Linked DNA regions of Lonchura striata. The protein of the gene in region 2 purifies or fractionates together with the protein of the main gene of each other region. This does not show direct contact. Links are inferred from orthologs where the notes say so. Each region holds a gene or a part of one and is shown on either strand. Other genes may lie near its edges.

The links.
Region 1: the proteins of SLC7A1 (region 2) and HS2ST1 purify together in Homo sapiens (co-immunoprecipitation; 3 studies listed by BioGRID and IntAct, counting the BioPlex papers as one, with this or other methods). This does not show direct contact. The link is inferred for Lonchura striata from reciprocal best matches to the Homo sapiens genes SLC7A1 and HS2ST1.

The regions. Positions count from the first base shown.
Region 1 is NC_134611.1:18,750,363-18,758,592, forward strand, and holds the start of HS2ST1 (heparan sulfate 2-O-sulfotransferase 1), read left to right. Parts: upstream 1-4,851; 5' UTR 4,852-4,961; coding exon 4,962-5,085; intron 5,086-8,230. UniProt on the Homo sapiens protein: Catalyzes the transfer of a sulfo group from 3'-phospho-5'-adenylyl sulfate (PAPS) to the 2-OH position of iduronic acid (IdoA) or glucuronic acid (GlcA) within the heparan sulfate (HS) chain and participates in HS biosynthesis.
Region 2 is NC_134604.1:68,388,758-68,397,233, reverse strand, and holds the start of SLC7A1 (high affinity cationic amino acid transporter 1), read right to left. Parts: upstream 3,276-8,476; 5' UTR 3,160-3,275; intron 1-3,159. UniProt on the Homo sapiens protein: High-affinity, low capacity permease involved in the transport of the cationic amino acids (arginine, lysine and ornithine) in non-hepatic tissues.

The DNA.
Region 1 (8,230 bases), on a different chromosome or scaffold from region 2:
TAAAGGCAGGCTTTCTTTTTTAAATATTAGGCTGAATTTAATTGACAGGAAAAACCTGCTAGATTTCATCATTAATTTCATTACATCAGTTATTTCACTATCTCCTAACCCTTAAAAATAATTTCAGCACCTCTCATCCTTGAAACTTCTACTTTCTTGATAATTCATTTGTCTTCACTATATTCTAGAACACTCTTAAATTACCACATATTAGAAAACATGCATTCTAACAATTCTTCATTGATAACATACCTTAAGGATCACAGATATTTATTTACTACAGATAAAGGAAAGGTTTTGCCTTAAACAGATTGAAGCACAGCATGAGCTCTTTAGACAGATCATTCCCAAAATACCCAGCAGTTCTCAGGGCTGCAGGATGGAATTGAGCAGTCATGCTGCCATCAGGTTTGTGCCACTCCAGGAGCTGGCCTGGAGGCTGCAGCAGCCTCTTGTTGCCCAGGCCTGAACTCAGCTATCTTGGCCATTGTGCTATGGGCCAGTGACCAAGCAGGAGCTGTCATCAAGCACCACTCTCCTCATCCTCTTCTTCTGCCCTCTTCCAATCCCATGGATCTTCCTTTTAAAAGAAGCTGGATATAGTTCCCAAATATGGTGATGTCACACCAGAGAAGGGCTGCCAAAGAACCAAAGGTTCCCTGTTGGTACAGGGCCATTATTTTACAGCAGTATCGCAAGTCTGGAAATCTAGACCCTGTAAGATTTATATTTGGCTATGAATAAATGCTGCTTTTTCCTCTTGAGATGATAACCCAGATTCTCATGTATTTTTTTAAATGAAAAGTTTCATAAAGATGACATGTTAAATTATTCCACAAGGGATTAGTCCAAAACTCACCTTTCTAGTTTCCAGCTGAGCTTCTTCTTGGCAGCACTCCCTGCAGAACGGGTCCAACTGATTCAGATTGAACTGCCCAAGAAGGTTGCAAGAACTGCACAGCAAGTTACTGGAGAAGCCCAGCTCTCTGCAAGCTTCTGATGACAACTGTGCTCCATAAACACTTACCTGAAAGTCAACACAATGTTACACTTAATATTAATTTATTTTGTTAAAAGATGGCTTTAAATGCTGCAATGATTAGAAAGAACAAGTTAGTCACTTGTGACTGTTTTACAGTAATGCCTAAATGGTCAGCCCTAGGGTTCAAAACACCACCCTACTGAGGAGGAGGGTCTTGACCTATCAGGGAGTTCTAGACATTCGTAATATATACATTCCAAGGTATCAGACCTTCCAAAAATAATTTATATACACTTCTGATAGCTCTATTGCTTTCTTATTGCTAAGTTCAAGTTAAGAAGAAAACCCAAAGGTAATGAATTAGCTGAAATGCACATGATTACAGCTTTCCAAAGCCTCCTCTTCAAAAAGAATTTCAGTAAGTTTTGGATCACTGAAAACTCTCAAGGAAAGTAATGTAACAGCTAAACTCAGGAAAAACACACCAGGAAGTGATGAAATTAACCAAAGTGCTCAAAACGACATCCAGGTAGGATTTTAATTTCATGATTGCATTAATGTTCCAGGAAAATTGCACACACTATTAAGTGGAAGTGCAGATAAAAACCTGCAATTCTGATTTATCAGCAAAAGTTTAAGACAGGCCATTCAATTACATGGTTTCTATGCAAAACACCATCTCTGCTTTTTATCGGCGCCAAAATAACGCAACCAATGACAACACTGAAATGATATTTGGGTTTTGTTCTCATAGAATCACTAAGGGTGGAAAAGACCTCTAAGATTATAATTGAGTCCAATCATTAACCCAGCACTACAGTGTTCAGCCCCAAACCCTGTCCCAAGTGCCACATCCATGTGCCTTTTGAACACTCCCAGGGATGGTGATTCCACCACTTCCCTGGGCAGCCCATTCCAGTGCCTGACCACCTTTTCAGTGAAGAAATTATTCCTAATATCCTCTCTAAACCTCCCCTTGTGCAAGCTGAAGCAATCTTCTCTCATCCCATCACTTGCTACCTGGGAGAACAGGCCGACCCCCAGCTGGCCACACTCTCCTTTCAGGCACTTGTAGAGACTGTGAAGCTCCCCCTGAACCTCCTTTTCTCCCAGATGAGCTCCCCCAGGTGCTCCTCACAGAACCTGTGCTCCACACCCTTCCCCAGCTCCACTGTCCTCCTCTGGGCTCACTCCAGCCCCTCAATACCTTTCTTGTAGCAAATTCTCATTCCCACTTTTTTACACATTGGCTTAAAACCTCCCCTTGCAGCTGCTTGCTTTGGAGGGGAAAATGTGAGAGAGGAAATAAGGAAGGGAGAGACAGGAGGTGGCTTTCCCAGATGCTTTTCAGTCTGGGTAAAAGACCCCAGGCACAACCCAGTACATGCAAAGCACCAGAGAAACAATGAGCATCACTGTGCTCAGAGCTGTGACAGGCACCAGCAAACTCAACTGGATGATGACAAGCCAAGACTCAGAAGAACTATGCTGGGTCCAACAGAAAAGTACAGGAGAAAAACTATGTTTGTCATTCAGCAAAACAGACTTCTCCTCACATTCACATGCCATCTAATCCATGCAGCACACCCAAGTTACGTAGAGACAAAACCCATTTCCTCTGCTGAAGTGGCCAGCCTGCAGCTGAAGGAAAGACATGTCACTTGTGTGACAGATAGAACACATTATGGATTGAGGATTGGTAGAAAATGTATTAGGTGCCTCATTATTCTATTTCTCTGTAGGTACTAAAAAAGTCAGAGTTAAAGCACGAACAGAGAAGTATAAAACACAAAAAACCTACTCTGAAATCACTATTTTATCAGGAAAAAAGCTATTTTTCTTCTTCCTACATGGCACTGTATGACAATGGAACCCTGTTCTACTGGAATAATTTAACCTTTTTTAAGGATTTTTACTAAGGTAATTAGTTTTCAAAGTACTGAGTATTTACCTTTTTTCAAGTATTTGTTTTCTAAGGAATACTGGCAATAAGAAATACAACAATGACACAGTAGTATAAAAAGCCCCCAAGGAGCATTCTGAACCCTGCTGAAGCTATATTTTAATTATGGCTCACTTATTAAATTAATGATGCCAATAACTAAAACCATTTTCTTGCACCTTGCTGCTTGCCATCCGCCCCTTTGATGTTTTACTGTCATGTTTTCACTTCAGTGTCACTGAAGTGTCACTGTTCCCCTGGAGCAATAACTGGGCTGTAGCACTGTCACTTTGCTTCCAGCAGCCTCTCTGTGACATCTTTGCCCAGCAGATCCCCAATCCATGAATGTAAAGCCAAGAATCTCCTGAGGACTTTTTTTTTTTGGGTTGTGTGTTTGAGAAAGAACCAACCAAAACACTAACAGTGTATGAAAGCAAGTAAAGGCTCCATTTCATGATAATTCCTCACTCAAGTGGTTTTGGTTACATAGCAAGCTCAAAACACCTTGAGAATAAAAGTACACAGAGGTAAAGGAAAAAATAAATAGAAGAAAGTCTCTATCCCTAATATTTTTACACAATTTTTAGTATCTTAACTACCACATTTTCAGGAAACAATAAATCACTAATCATAATAAATGTCTCTGATTGGGATTGGAAAAAACCCCTCACACTTCAGAAAGCAAATTCCCATCAGAACAAGGTAATTTCAGGCACTTAGTAAGTGATGCGCCTCATTTCATCAGCGTTTTCTCCACAAAGGCTTTGGCTCCAAATACATACTACACTGTTGCTTTGTTTTCACACCAAATAATTTACTGTATTAAAAAAAAAGGCAGCGCCAATGCAAACTATTTTAGAAAAAGGGCAGAAGTAGAGCCCAGTTTCCGACACGGAACGCAAAAGAGGCGCCACGGCCGCAGGAGCGGGAGGAGGCGCGCCCCGGGCCACGTCTTACGCCGCCTTCCCCGCCCTCAACCCCGCTCTTTCTCGCAGGAGCTGCAGCCGCGCTCAGCCCCGAGCGCGACCGCGCCGGCCGGGCTCTCACCGCCTGCAGCCCCAGGAGCCAGCAGAGCCAGCGCCGCCCCAGCGCCCGCAGCTCGGCCGCCGCCGCCATCTCGGTGCCGAGCGCCCCGCCAGCGCCGCCGGGCCGCGGAAGGACCTCACCCACGGCGGGTGACCGACACACCGCCTGATGCGGGAGAGCATAGACTTGCTCCCAGCCCCAGCACTGCAAGCAGAAACTGCTAACCCAGAGTATCTCCTGGAATTCTAGAGCAAAGACATTTTAGCCTGTTCAGAGCAGTGCTTCGCAGCGAGGCTGGAGGAACTACCGTTCCCCAACGCTGGTCGGGCATTGCGGAAACCACCCCGAATAAAGCCCTTTTCCCTTTCTCGGGAACTGCCAACCGTCACCTCGGCCCCAGCCCGGTGACTGACAGCCGGCCCGACCAATACCATTGTGCTTTCCCCACGGCCTGCGGTGCCCGTGCCCAACGAGGAGGGGCGGATGGGCGGGACCGCAAGCAGCGCCTTCCAATCAGAAAGGGACGCATAGAGGCGGGACACCGCCCCGCTCCGGCGGCGCAGCGCGGCTGGGGAGGCGGGGCGAGTCCCGCGCCGGGCCAATCGGACAGCGCGAGGGGCGGGGCCGCGGCAGCGCCGCCCAATGGCGGGGCCGCGGGGCGGGGCCCAGCGCGGCCGGCGGCGGCGGGGGCGGGGCGGGCGCGCGGCCGGGCGTTCGGTTGCCGAGCAGCGCGCGCAGGGCGGGCGGGGCGGGGCGGGGCGCGGCGGGGGCCGGGCCGGGCCGGGCCGGGCCGGGCCGCGCGGGCGGGGCGGGCGCGCTGCGGGCCGCGCGCGGCGATGTGAGAGCGGCGGCGCCGGGCCCTGTGCGCGCCCCCGGGCCCTGTGCGCGCCCCCGGCCGCGCTCCCTCCGTCCCTGCTCGGCCGCGCCGTCGCCGCGGCTCCCGCCGGCCCCCGCGGGCCGGGCCCCGCGTTATGTCGTGATCCCGGGCGGGCGGCGCTGCTGCTGCTGCTCATGGGGCTGCTCAGGATTATGCTGCCGCCCAAGTTGCAGCTGCTGGCGGTGCTGGTGTTCGGGGTGGCCGTGCTGTTCCTGGAGAACCAGATCCAGAAGCTGGAGGAGTCCCGCGGCAAGCTGGGTGAGCGGCGGCGGGCGCGGCCGGGGGCGCGGGGGGCTGCGGGAGCCGGGCCGGGCCGGGGCAGCCCCGGCCGCGGGCGCTGCCGTGCCCCGGCGCCGCGGGACCGGGTCGGGGCGGGCCGGCTGCTCTGCAGCAGGGGCTGTCCGCGGCAGCCTTGGCCTCTGAGCGCATCTGTTTGCTCTGGGCGGTCGGGGCTGGGAGGACAGGCGTGTCTCCCGTGTCCGAAGGGGCTCTGGCAGAGCCGCGGTGCCCCCGGCCGTGGGCAGCGGCCCCCGGCCCTGCCGGTGCCTCCTCGGGCACCTGGCGAGGCAGGGGAGCAGCAGCCGCGGCGCCCGAACCGAGGCTGGTGCTGCTGCTGCTGCAGCCAATTACCATCCTCACATCTCATTCCTAATTCTGACTTTTTACTAACGCTTGGCACTGTAATGGAAAGCACGGTGTAAAGGAAAGAAAGCTAAAGATTTTGCTCTTAATGACAAATGGGTAATTTGTTTACCACTCATTTAATGTAGGATGTTATTTTCTGCATTTACTGAGTGTAGTTAGTGATTTCCTAGACTGTCACTGAGCTGTGCTAAAGTGAAAAGCGGTGAACTAGAAATCTCTTGTGTAAAATTTCTTCTACTTTTCCTGCCTGAAAGGATATTTTTAGAGTAATATCTGCCTAATAGGTAATATTTTACTTATTTTACTACTTTTTTCTGTTGTACATAAGGCTGCAGAACTTGTAAAGATTTTACATTGCTTAATTAAGGGTCTCCTGGATGTGAAAAAACACCATTCTCAACCTAATTTGTGGTGCCTAGGAGTTGTGAAAACAGAGCACTGAGACTTCTGGTGTATACAAGATAAGGAACTGGTTTGCAAACATTGTGGATTTGCTTTCTCCTATTATTTAACTATACAAAATATTTACATTATTAACAGTAGTTAATAGAGTAAATTGAAGTTTGTAGGAAGAAAAGTGCACATTGTGTTCCTTCTGGTGTTAACAGTAGAAGTGGATTTGAGTGACATGGGAAGTTTAACAATGAGTTTTTAACAGAGTCCACATAACTTAATGTTGAGCTGTATGAATGCCATTGGGATTTTACTTCACAGCATTTCTTTTCCTCTCCACTCTCTGAACTGCATATTAGTGATTAGGGCCCTGGAAATTGCAGTGGTTGCCTGAGGTGAGGGAGGCCCTTACTCTGCATACTTTTCAACTGAAAGTTCTTACCAGTTATAATTGAGGCATTTTTTTGCAGAGTCTCAATAACTGTAAACAAGCATTTGAAGAAGAAAACTAAGGAAATTGGAAGATAAAGCAAGCAAGTGTTGCCACAGTGCTGAAGGTTCAGTGGTACTTTGTATACATCTGCTTTAAAGTGGTTCATAGCCATGGCTTCAATGCTTCTGTTGCTGACAGTGTGTGTTACTTTAGGGAAATCTCTTGGCATGAAAAGGATAACATAATGTGTGTGAGAATAAAGAATTTTGCTGATAAAACTTCTTCCTCCCTAATATATATGCGATGGACATGTTTAACTTACATATTTAGAGGATTAAAATACTCAAACTGCTTTGGGACAAGAATCTAATCTGATTTTTTTTCTTGAGGAGAAGGGAAAACTATTGTGAAGTTTCTTAAAATTAAAATGGAAAGATTTGCTTTGTGTGCAACTTACTGGTGGCTCTCCAAAACCTGTGGAAGGAAGGGGAAAAGAACTTTCTACAGCAGCTTTGAACTCAGATTCCAGTTTTTTGTATGAGAGTATGCTTGTTAAAAAGCTTCTAATTGTCTGAATGTCTCCCTTATCACATCTGGTATGTATTTTATGACTAGCAAATATTCATATTTCATTATGGCTGTTTTTTACTATCATGATTGGTTAGATTTCTCCCGAGCTGCATTGTGGAAAATGTTTTTTCCAGATCAAAGTATTTAATTGGCCTAATACACTTGAATGCAAATTTTCTTCCCTGCCTCCTAAAAGAATGGTGTGGGTATGTGTGGAGTGATACTATGCTTTGAGGGTAAGGACAAAGTAGCTCTTTCAGTTTTGTTTCAGTGGGTGCTTTATGTCAAAAATCTTGTTACACAGTGTTTGGGGACTGGGTTTTGAGCTATGCCATGTGTTTACATTGATGTATCATATGATAAACTGTCATCTTGGAAAGTTCTTGTAAGAGTTAGGCATTGGCTAGGAAAACCAAATTACTTCAGATTTGATAGGAAAATAATTGTGCAGTCTTATTAGCAGTTCTAAAAATGTTCAACTGTACTTTCAGACAGAAAGGGCTTTATCCAAATCCTTCTCATATGAGCAACTCCAAATTCTGTAGTGAACAATTGGGGGCCCTAATTTCAGTTTAATAACTTAAAATATCTTGCCTATAAAGTGAAATTGGAGCGTGTTTCAGGGTGAAAAAGGAATAGGAACCACTTTTTTTTTTTTCTCTAAAACTTTATATGGGTAAGCTTGGTCACCCTGGCAGGCTTCTTAGTTGAGAAGTGAAGGACATATAAGCAAATGACCATCACAAATGCTGCTGCTTTTTGTTGACAAAATTGCTATGATCCTTTAAAAGGGTATTTATAAACATGTGGGCTTTTTCATATGAAAAATGACTTCCTAATTAAAGAAGGTAAATCAAAATATTAACTTCTTCGCAGCTATGTACAAGCAGTTTGTAGTGGTGAGATCACAAGCAGAATGTGAACAATTTGAAATATGTTTTTTGTGAGATTTCTACCTACAGCTATTAATCTTTCATATTATTTTCAAGTTTACATGATAAATTTGCATGCTCTCCAGACTAAGCTGTCCCTAATTGCCAGTGAGAACTTTAAAGTTTTTATTTAAGCATGGTGTAGGTATGTGCCCTAGCTCTAGGAATGCACAGGTCTAATAGAGAATATTGCACATGAAAGGCAAATGTTGAGGTTTAACTGTTGTTCGTGGAACAGAAGGACAGAAGTAATGTCTGGCTGTCCCTTTTGGGTTTTGGAGTGCAGCTCTGCCTTCGGTATAAATTGACCTAGCATTTAATATGTTTTATGTGTACCATGCCATCTCCTGCATTGTCATTAGTATTTGTGGTGCATTGGATCAAAAAAATGATCCAGCTGGATGTAATCAATCTTCTCTTCCCTCCACAA
Region 2 (8,476 bases):
CCCAGGAACCACAGACAATAGTCAAGAATCCTGCAACTAGTGGGCCCATCATATGTCAAGTGAGAGCCGCCCCTTGTTTTGTTTGACCATCAGACTCAGTTATACCTTTTTCTTTTTCTTTTTTTTTTAAATAGGTTTTAGTAGCCAGCAAGACTGCAACAACTGCACTAACAAGGGAGTGCCCAAGTACCAAAACAAACCGACCCTTATGGCAAAACTGCTGTAACTCTTCCCAAAGTCCTTGAGGTTTCCAAGAACCCCACAAGTTTTTTGAGATAAACACTTGGATCATTCATGCTTTCTTTTATACTCGGTGGAAAGCAGATGAGTACATGAGCATGTCAGGTCACAACTCATTTGCTTAAGCGTACAGGGCTGAGGTGAATCACATCCCGGAATGCCCATCCCTCTCCTGGCTAACCATTTTGGAGATGGATGAGTACATATGGCCAGATCAATGCCACCTTCAACACCATTCAACACGTGACAGATTTTCAAAGATTTTGACCTTGGGATAATGAAAGATGGGGATATAACAGGTAATGCAAAAAAAAAATCTAGGATACAGAACACCCATCCTGGTTTACTAACTTACTAACTCTGGGTCAGCATTGACTGCAGCTGACCCCAAACAACTCTGCCCAAAGCACTGAAATATCTCCCCGCACCACTCCACAGAGTTAAATCAGCAGGATTTCCTAGCTCATCCTTCAGGAGTGGCAAAGGGGCTGTGTCGCATCCCCATCTGCCTTGGTAACCAGGATGGCAGAACCAATAAATCCCATCAGGATCAAGCCAACATCTACTCAGCACATCTGCAGACAAAGGAACTCTATTCTCCTCCTGCCCCACTCTACACTGATGCTTTTAGCATCACAGATATGGGGCAAGAGAAGAAAATTAAACTTACCAGTTTGCTTTCTATTCACTTAAACCTAGGATACAATTGGAAGTGACATTTCTGAAAGGCTACCAAAGTCTTGTTAACCTGTCCTCAGGGTTAAGGAACATGCTAGATCAAGAGTGAACTAGGTAGCAGAGGCAGTAATTGCAGTAAGACCCCTGCCCTCCTTCACTCGAACCATATTTCTCCCTCTCTTCTTTCCCATGTACTTTTTCTTCTTTTCCCACTACTCTTTTTTTTCTCCCTCCCTCTTGCACACACCAGGCCAGCAACTGTGCACAACATTAGCTAGAGTGGAACTCACTCCTGTCATCTCAGAATCATGCTATTGTTAAGGTTGGAAAATGACTCCAAGAGGACCAAATCTAACTATTTCCTATGTCACACAACTGAAAGCAGAGACACAGAACTCAAGCATATCAACATGAGAATGAATACTACCTGCCACCTGGCAACAGACTACTCAGGAAGGAAGGAGGAAGAAAAAAAAAAAAAGAAAGGAAAAGAGAAGGAAAAAAAAAGGAGTGACAGATCTTGCAAAAATACGCCTTGGAACTGGTTTCTCCAGTAACTGGTTAAACAGTTACTAGCTTCCTCTTCTCTGAGATAATGCCTTCCGATTAGAAAAGATATTGCAAGAATATACTCCATGAGGAGTGAAGAGCATATTGCATCTCAACCACACACACAACGGAAGTGCCTGAATTAGAAGCCTAGTAGACCTCAGGTTTCTGTTACACCCACTTGAAATAAGAAGTGCCTTCTGAACACACCTCCTCACTGTTAAGCACAGCCCTATAAGCAGCAAGACTCAAAATTTTACAAATACCACCAAAAAGTGGCATAAGTCAGGGACTAAACACCAATTAGCTCCCCTGCCCAAAAAAAAGGCTTTAATTCAAAGCCAACGTGACCATCTAAAGCATGCATGTGATAGAGCACAGTCAAGGTCTGACCCTGTCAGATCACTCAAAATGCAAGATACTTCAAGTACTTGAATGCAAAGCTTGTAACTTTCAAAGCTTGTGGCAAAGCTTGCTCCTGCTTTGTTCCAGGGTCAGCACTTGCAACTACGGAGCCTGTGCCGTTACAGTCTTTTGCATTATATGGAAAGCTTGTCCAAAAAACATGTCCAGATGGCCACTGAAGGCAACACAAGTTGGTAGAGCACCTGACCAGAAGGATAAATTTCTGCCTGTTCTTTCCAAGTGTTCATTGTATTTACCTCTAACTTGGAGACAGCAGTCAAGCATCAGCGAGTGAACTAAGGGCTTCAAGAGGCATTGCTGTGCCACTGCAGAGGGTCCCACATGACGCTTGCATTGCCATGTGTAACCACATCTTCAACACTTGTCCCCGTGGCTTAGCAGAGCCCACAGAGGCAGGCAAAGGGAGGCAGGGTAGGGTATCCTTCACCATGCCGTCGTTGTTCAAGCACAAAGTAACATTTGCAAATGACCACAGGCAAGTGAGCCGGCTATCAAATGAGCACCATTATCATCAACTCTTTGGCTCAGATCTGCAGCCTGTGTAGAGCTGCAATTGCCTTTCTGTCACGACTCTATACAGCACCTACAAAAACACCACCTTGCTCCAAAATTAAAGTTTCTAGCAGCTGACAACAGAGATAACTAGCAATTCCCAATCTAGTCTCAATCTTCCTCTCCAGCCGTAGCTACACACAATTTTCCTCTTAAGGATTTTTAGTGGGTTCCCCTTGCTCCATCACATCTGTCACCCACACATTCACACATACATATGCAGAAAACGATGAAACGCATCATCTCTTAACCAGAACAGCTGCCTGCAAAGTACTGACAATCCAAACGGAGATAATTCCCTGTCCTGCTCAGAGGAGCGGGTTTGGGAGCAGCAGGCTCCAAGAACTCCTGGGATACTGGGCTGGCTATGAGCCCTATGGGCGATACCCCCATTCTCGGTAAATTCTCAGTCTTCTGCAATTTGACTTAGGAAGCAAAGCACAGCACGGCAGAAAAGGGCTTCGGGACATGGCCCAGGGTCTCTCCTCGGCACCGGGGCCTTCACCTCCAGCACAGCACGCTCCCTGCGGCTGCTCGCCCCGCAGAGAAGCTAGGCAAAAGAAGGGATGGGGGTGGCGGTCAGGCGAGGCAGGGACGCGCCGCGGGGCCCGCAGCGGGCCGGGAGCGCCGCGCCGTGCCGCGCCGCGCCGTGCCTGCTGCACCGCGCGAAATGGACGCACCGCGTGGGGCCCGCCCGCCCCGTCCCACACTCACCCAGCCGGGGGCTCGGGCAAGCGGCGAGGCAGCGCAGCCACGACCCCCGGCTCCCCGCCGCCGCCTTAGATCTCCTGCGCGGACACGCCCGCCCGGCCCTGCCTCCCAATGGATGGCAGGCGCTGTTACACGTGGTGTAGGGGTGGGCCGGGGGTAGCGGCGGGATGGAGGGGCGGCCCGGCGCCTGGGAGCCCGGCGCAGCGCCCGCGCAGCTGAACCGCGTGGCGGGGCACGGCCGCGGAGGTGGGGCAGGAAGGGGCTTCACAAGCCAGCTCCCTGCAGACGGCTCATGCCGCGCTGAATAGCTACTCGGTTTTTCTTTTTCTCCTCGTGCTCCCTGGGAGTAGAACTGAGGGCCTGGGTTGGACTAAATCATCCATTCAGCTGTAGCACACATCCTGCTCTAAGAGCTAATGGATTCTGCAGAACGTGGTTGAGCAAAGGATGCCAGCATAAAATGGATGCACTGGGTTATCACAGAATGTTAAGGGTTCGGAATGGACCTTAAAGTTCATCCGTCCTAAACATTCCTGCTGTGGGCAGGGACACCTCCCACTCGACCAGGTTGCTCAAAGCGTTACCCAGTGTGTCCTTGAAGACTGCCACGGTTGGGGTATCCACAGCCTCCCTGGGCAACCTCTTCCAGTGTTTCACCACTCTCAGAGTAAAAAATTTCTTTCTAATATCTAACTTAAATTCCCCCCCCCCCTTTTCAAATTTTACCCATTACTTCTTTTCCTATCACTACAGTTCCTGACGAAAAGTCCTTTTCCAGCTTCCCTGTTGGCCCCCCTAAGATACTGGAAGGCTGCTGTGAGGTCCCCACACAACCTTTTCTTCATGCTGAACAGCCCCTGATAAGCACAGTAGAACAGCATTTCACTCACTTGATAAGGAACAACTTCCTACCAAGGACAGTAGAAGAGAACAGCACAGCCTTGGATAAATAAATAAAGGATGTAAATCAGGCTAACAAAAGTAATGCAAAATGCAAGCAGGATGCCCGATCAGCTCTGCAAGGCTGAAATAGTAGAAGTTAAGCAAAGCAATGATACTGTACTTAATCAAAAGCAGGGGTGAAAGAACATCCCCCTGAAAAGGACACTGGACTTTGATGACAGACCCCAAAGAACCAATAGAAGGTCTTTCATAAGTGTTGTGACTTTGTAAAATAAAGCCGAGGAAGTAGGGATAGCTAATGAATATGTAATCAGCGTTTATGATAAAAACTGTACACCTGACACTCAGGGCATCAGTTAGGGGAAATGTCCTCAAAAAGCCCAGCATGTTCTAATAAAGAATGCCTGCTAGCTGGTACTCAGAACTGTGCTAGAAAGTTTCTATCCAGCTAATTTCAGTACCACGTCTCCCTGTCTGTCTTCACAGAAGAGATGTTTGTCTTGGTTTACAAGATAGATGTCTGCTAGGGAAGGCAGAAAAGCCTCCCTTGGAGCAGAGAATGTGAACATCTTCCCTCCAAATTATTATAATCTTGAAATTAAGGGGCTCTTAGGCAAAGATATGGGAGTAGGAATATCAGTTCTTTACTGGTATGTACAGTAAAGCGAGCAAACAACAACTACTACAGCATTAACACCAGACCGAGCCCGGAACGCGCTGACACCTTTCGGGGCGCCACTTTCCCTTCCGTGCAGTTCCGGGCACGGCCAGCGGGGGCGCTGCTGGCTGCCGGCGGGCGGCGCGGGTGCGGTGACTCCCCCGCGGCTGCAGGGGGCGCTGCGGCGGGCTCGGGGCGCCCTGGCAATGGCAGCTCGGCGGAGACAGGCGGGGCGGAGGAGAGGCTTTGTTCACAAACCCCCGGGGCGGCCGATCTTGGTGTCCCTCGCAGGATTCTCGGGAGCAGCAGGCTGGAAATGGCAGGAATGAGCTGAAATCCTGGGGCAGTGAAAGAGAGTGTCCCAAAACTCCACGGCAAATAGCTGGAAGCTGTGGGGTGTCCTGGCAGGGCAGGGGAATGTGGAGGCCCAGCGGCAGAAGAAAGGTTCCCTGCTGGATTGCAGTGGTAGTAGGAGAAGGCAGCAAGGATGGAGCTGCACAGTGGTGGCGACTTCTCTCCACTGTGCCCACAGCCCCTCTCCAGTGCCGAGAAAGTGAGAGCCAGCCCGGAGCTGTCCTCAGCCCCTTCTCTCAGCCTGAATCTCCCCATCCTCCACATCGCCCCCAGAAAAACTCCCAAAAACTAAAAGAGTTCCCCTTCCCTGCCCTTCTCAAACCATCGGTTCCTATTAGCAACTCAGTGCAAAGAAATTCTACAAGTTTCCATAGGAAAGAACAGAAAAAACCGAAACCCAACCCCCAACAGCGTCCCAGTCCTCTTACCAACATTGTGACCACCCTTTGGACTTGCTCCAACCATTCCATGTCCTTTTTATGTTGGAGACACGAGAACTGTACATGGCACTCCAGGTGGGGTCTGACAAGAGCAGAGAGGGAGAACGGCCTGCAGACCATGCTGCTTTTGGTGCAGCACAGGATTCAATAATGGTAGACACTGATGGACTTAGATTAGGATTTTGACATTACCTCCCATGAAGCACAATGCTCCCAGTCTGGAAAAAACACTGATTAGGAAACTTCAATGGCTGAACCCAAAACTACGGAAAAAGCCCAAAAGAGCAGTGGGTATTGGAAGAACAACATGGTGTCTATTCCATGCTTGACAAGATCCCATTTCCATTACCATTCATAAGTGACCACTATGGGAAAACTGTCCAGTGTGCTGCAGGATGAGACAGCGTCTGAACATGAATCTTGAAAAAACATCAAGATTCAAACTGTCCAAAATAAAGTGGAATTCTAGAAAGGAGGAGAGTGATAGTTAAGGAAAGAAAACCAAATAAGCAACGAGGAACATCTGGCTGAGCAACCAATTAAAATTGCATCAGAGGAGATTTAGATTGGATATTAAGAAAAACGTCTTTAAGTTTTAAGAAAAACAACAAAAGGGATGTCGTGCAAGGGACATGGTGAAGTCACCATTCCTGAAGGTATTTAGAAGATGTGTAGGGACACTGAGGGCTAAGTGCTGGACCTGGCAGTGCTGGGTTAATGATTGGACTTGATGATCTTACAGGTCTTTTGCAACCTAAAAGACTGTTTAGAAAGAGATCAGGAGATTAAAGTGGATCCCAAAAGCCATGTGAGACTGCTGCATGGGACTACTGGTGCTAATGAAATAAAAATACTACCCAAAAGAACTGTATCTTTCTAGTGGAGCACCTTAATTGAAACATATGTAGTATATCGAAAGTAATTATGAAGCTGTAATCAATAGTGCCAAAACTTTAGTACAGTGCTTATTTTGGCATTTTACCATAAAAAAATACATCTACTTGGTGGAATCCTGAAAAAATGCTGGTAGGATCTACATTCATTAAAGAAAAGTGCAAGGAACTGGTTTTTCTTTTCCAGGACAAAGGCAGAGCTGTAGAAAAATCCTTCAGTGATTATGAGGCAAAGGCATAAACACTAAAGGAAAAAAGAAATTGTTTAATGTCAATTACAATTGCACCATGCTCATTAACAATTACCCACCAGAGAGGCTGGAGGACATTTTGAGGGTAAGCATTCACAAAAACCCCTAAAACAATGTTCTACTGCTGTGCTTTTTCATTGGCTGCTCCATGTGAGATCAACAGCTATACCTGTCACATTGCCATCTGCTTCTGCCTATCACTTCCATAGAACCCTGGTCCTCTGTTATTATAGATGTGGTTGCATAAATAAGGGGAGTGGTGGTCTGAGATAATGGCTCCTAAAATAGTTCTGGGAAAGAAATATTCTCTTTTATGCCAAGCTGAAGTACCCGAGACACCAAGTATCAATTAATAGGAAAAAGACCCCAACCAAACAATGATTCTGAAATTTCTCTGCTAGAATTACACTAAAATCAAAGTGATTCAAAAATCACTTCTTGCACCTTAATCCTTTGTTCTCTTTAATTAATCAGCTAGTCTACCTGTCCTAGTTAGTTTTAATCTGTGGAACCCATCCATATCAACTAACAGTATCTCAAATAATCCTTAGACACAAGAGCTGTTAGCACAAGCCTGTGGCCATTCCCTGTTTACATACAAGCACCCTATTTTGGAAAGTAAGAGGATGTAATAGTGCGGACATTAACCATTCTGTTCCATAAGCATTTTCTGTCTTCAACAAGCTTAGCAGACTAATAAAAAAGCAGTCAATACAGCTTTTTGTGGAACAGTGCTTAGGGACATGCCCTGTGTTTAACTACCAAGCATAGATGGATGTGTGAGATGAATACTGCCTTGTCTACCACAAGACCATGATAGGTGAGGCAGAGGAGGGCAGAGCTGCTTTGACTAAGCAGTTCAGCATTTTCTGCAAGATTTATCAAGCCAAGTGTGAAGATGTAACAAAATATGTAATTGGAGTAATGCAGCAGTCCTGTTTAACCAAAAAAACCAGAAGTTAATTACCTCTAACAGCACATGACTGAGGTCATCCAAGATGTCCCAACAACATCTGTGTCATTTGTATCATCCCAGTCTCAGAAGCGAGACTTGTGTCACTCAGGAAGGTGGGCTTGTTTTCTGTCATTGAGGGCACAGTACAGCTTATTTCCATTCATCAAAACTCTTCTCCAAAACATCTCCGTAGCAGGGTGACCACCTCCAAACTTCTCACTGGGAAGAACAATCTGATGCTATCCCATGAACTGTGCACAGGCATTTCCTGAGAGAGGGATATCTTGCTTAGACTGTACCTGTAGCAGGAACTGTTTAACACCATGGACAGTTGAGGACTGGCACACCATCCTGAGCCCTCATCATCCTTAATTTGCTGATACAGGTGTAGCCAAGTACAGGCTGGAGCTGGAGCTGGAGCTGGAGCTGGAGCTTTGCTGTGAACCTAGAACCAGACAAGATGGTTTTGGACAGGTGGCTTTGGCATTCCCTCTTGAGTAGGTCAGACACCACACTAGTTGTTGTAGATTTTAGCCCCCAAAATGTGACTTTCATTTACTAACCAGAAGAATAAGACATCTTCCCTTAGCATTGTACATTTTGTTCCCAGAGCTAAATTAACTTCCTGGTATTACAAGCCTGTGTACCCCCCTAGGTCTGGCCCTTGATGATCCAAGGTGTAATCCAAATACTCTCTTTGATCTCAGCCTCATACTCTGTACACAGCAGCCCCACTTCCTCCTTTTTAAATTTTGTTTCTATTTATACAGTTAACAAACCTTTCCACATTCATCTTCACAGACCTTTGCAAGGTCTAACTCAGCTTGACTTTTGGCATTTGGTGCTATATTCCTACAGTTTTTGAC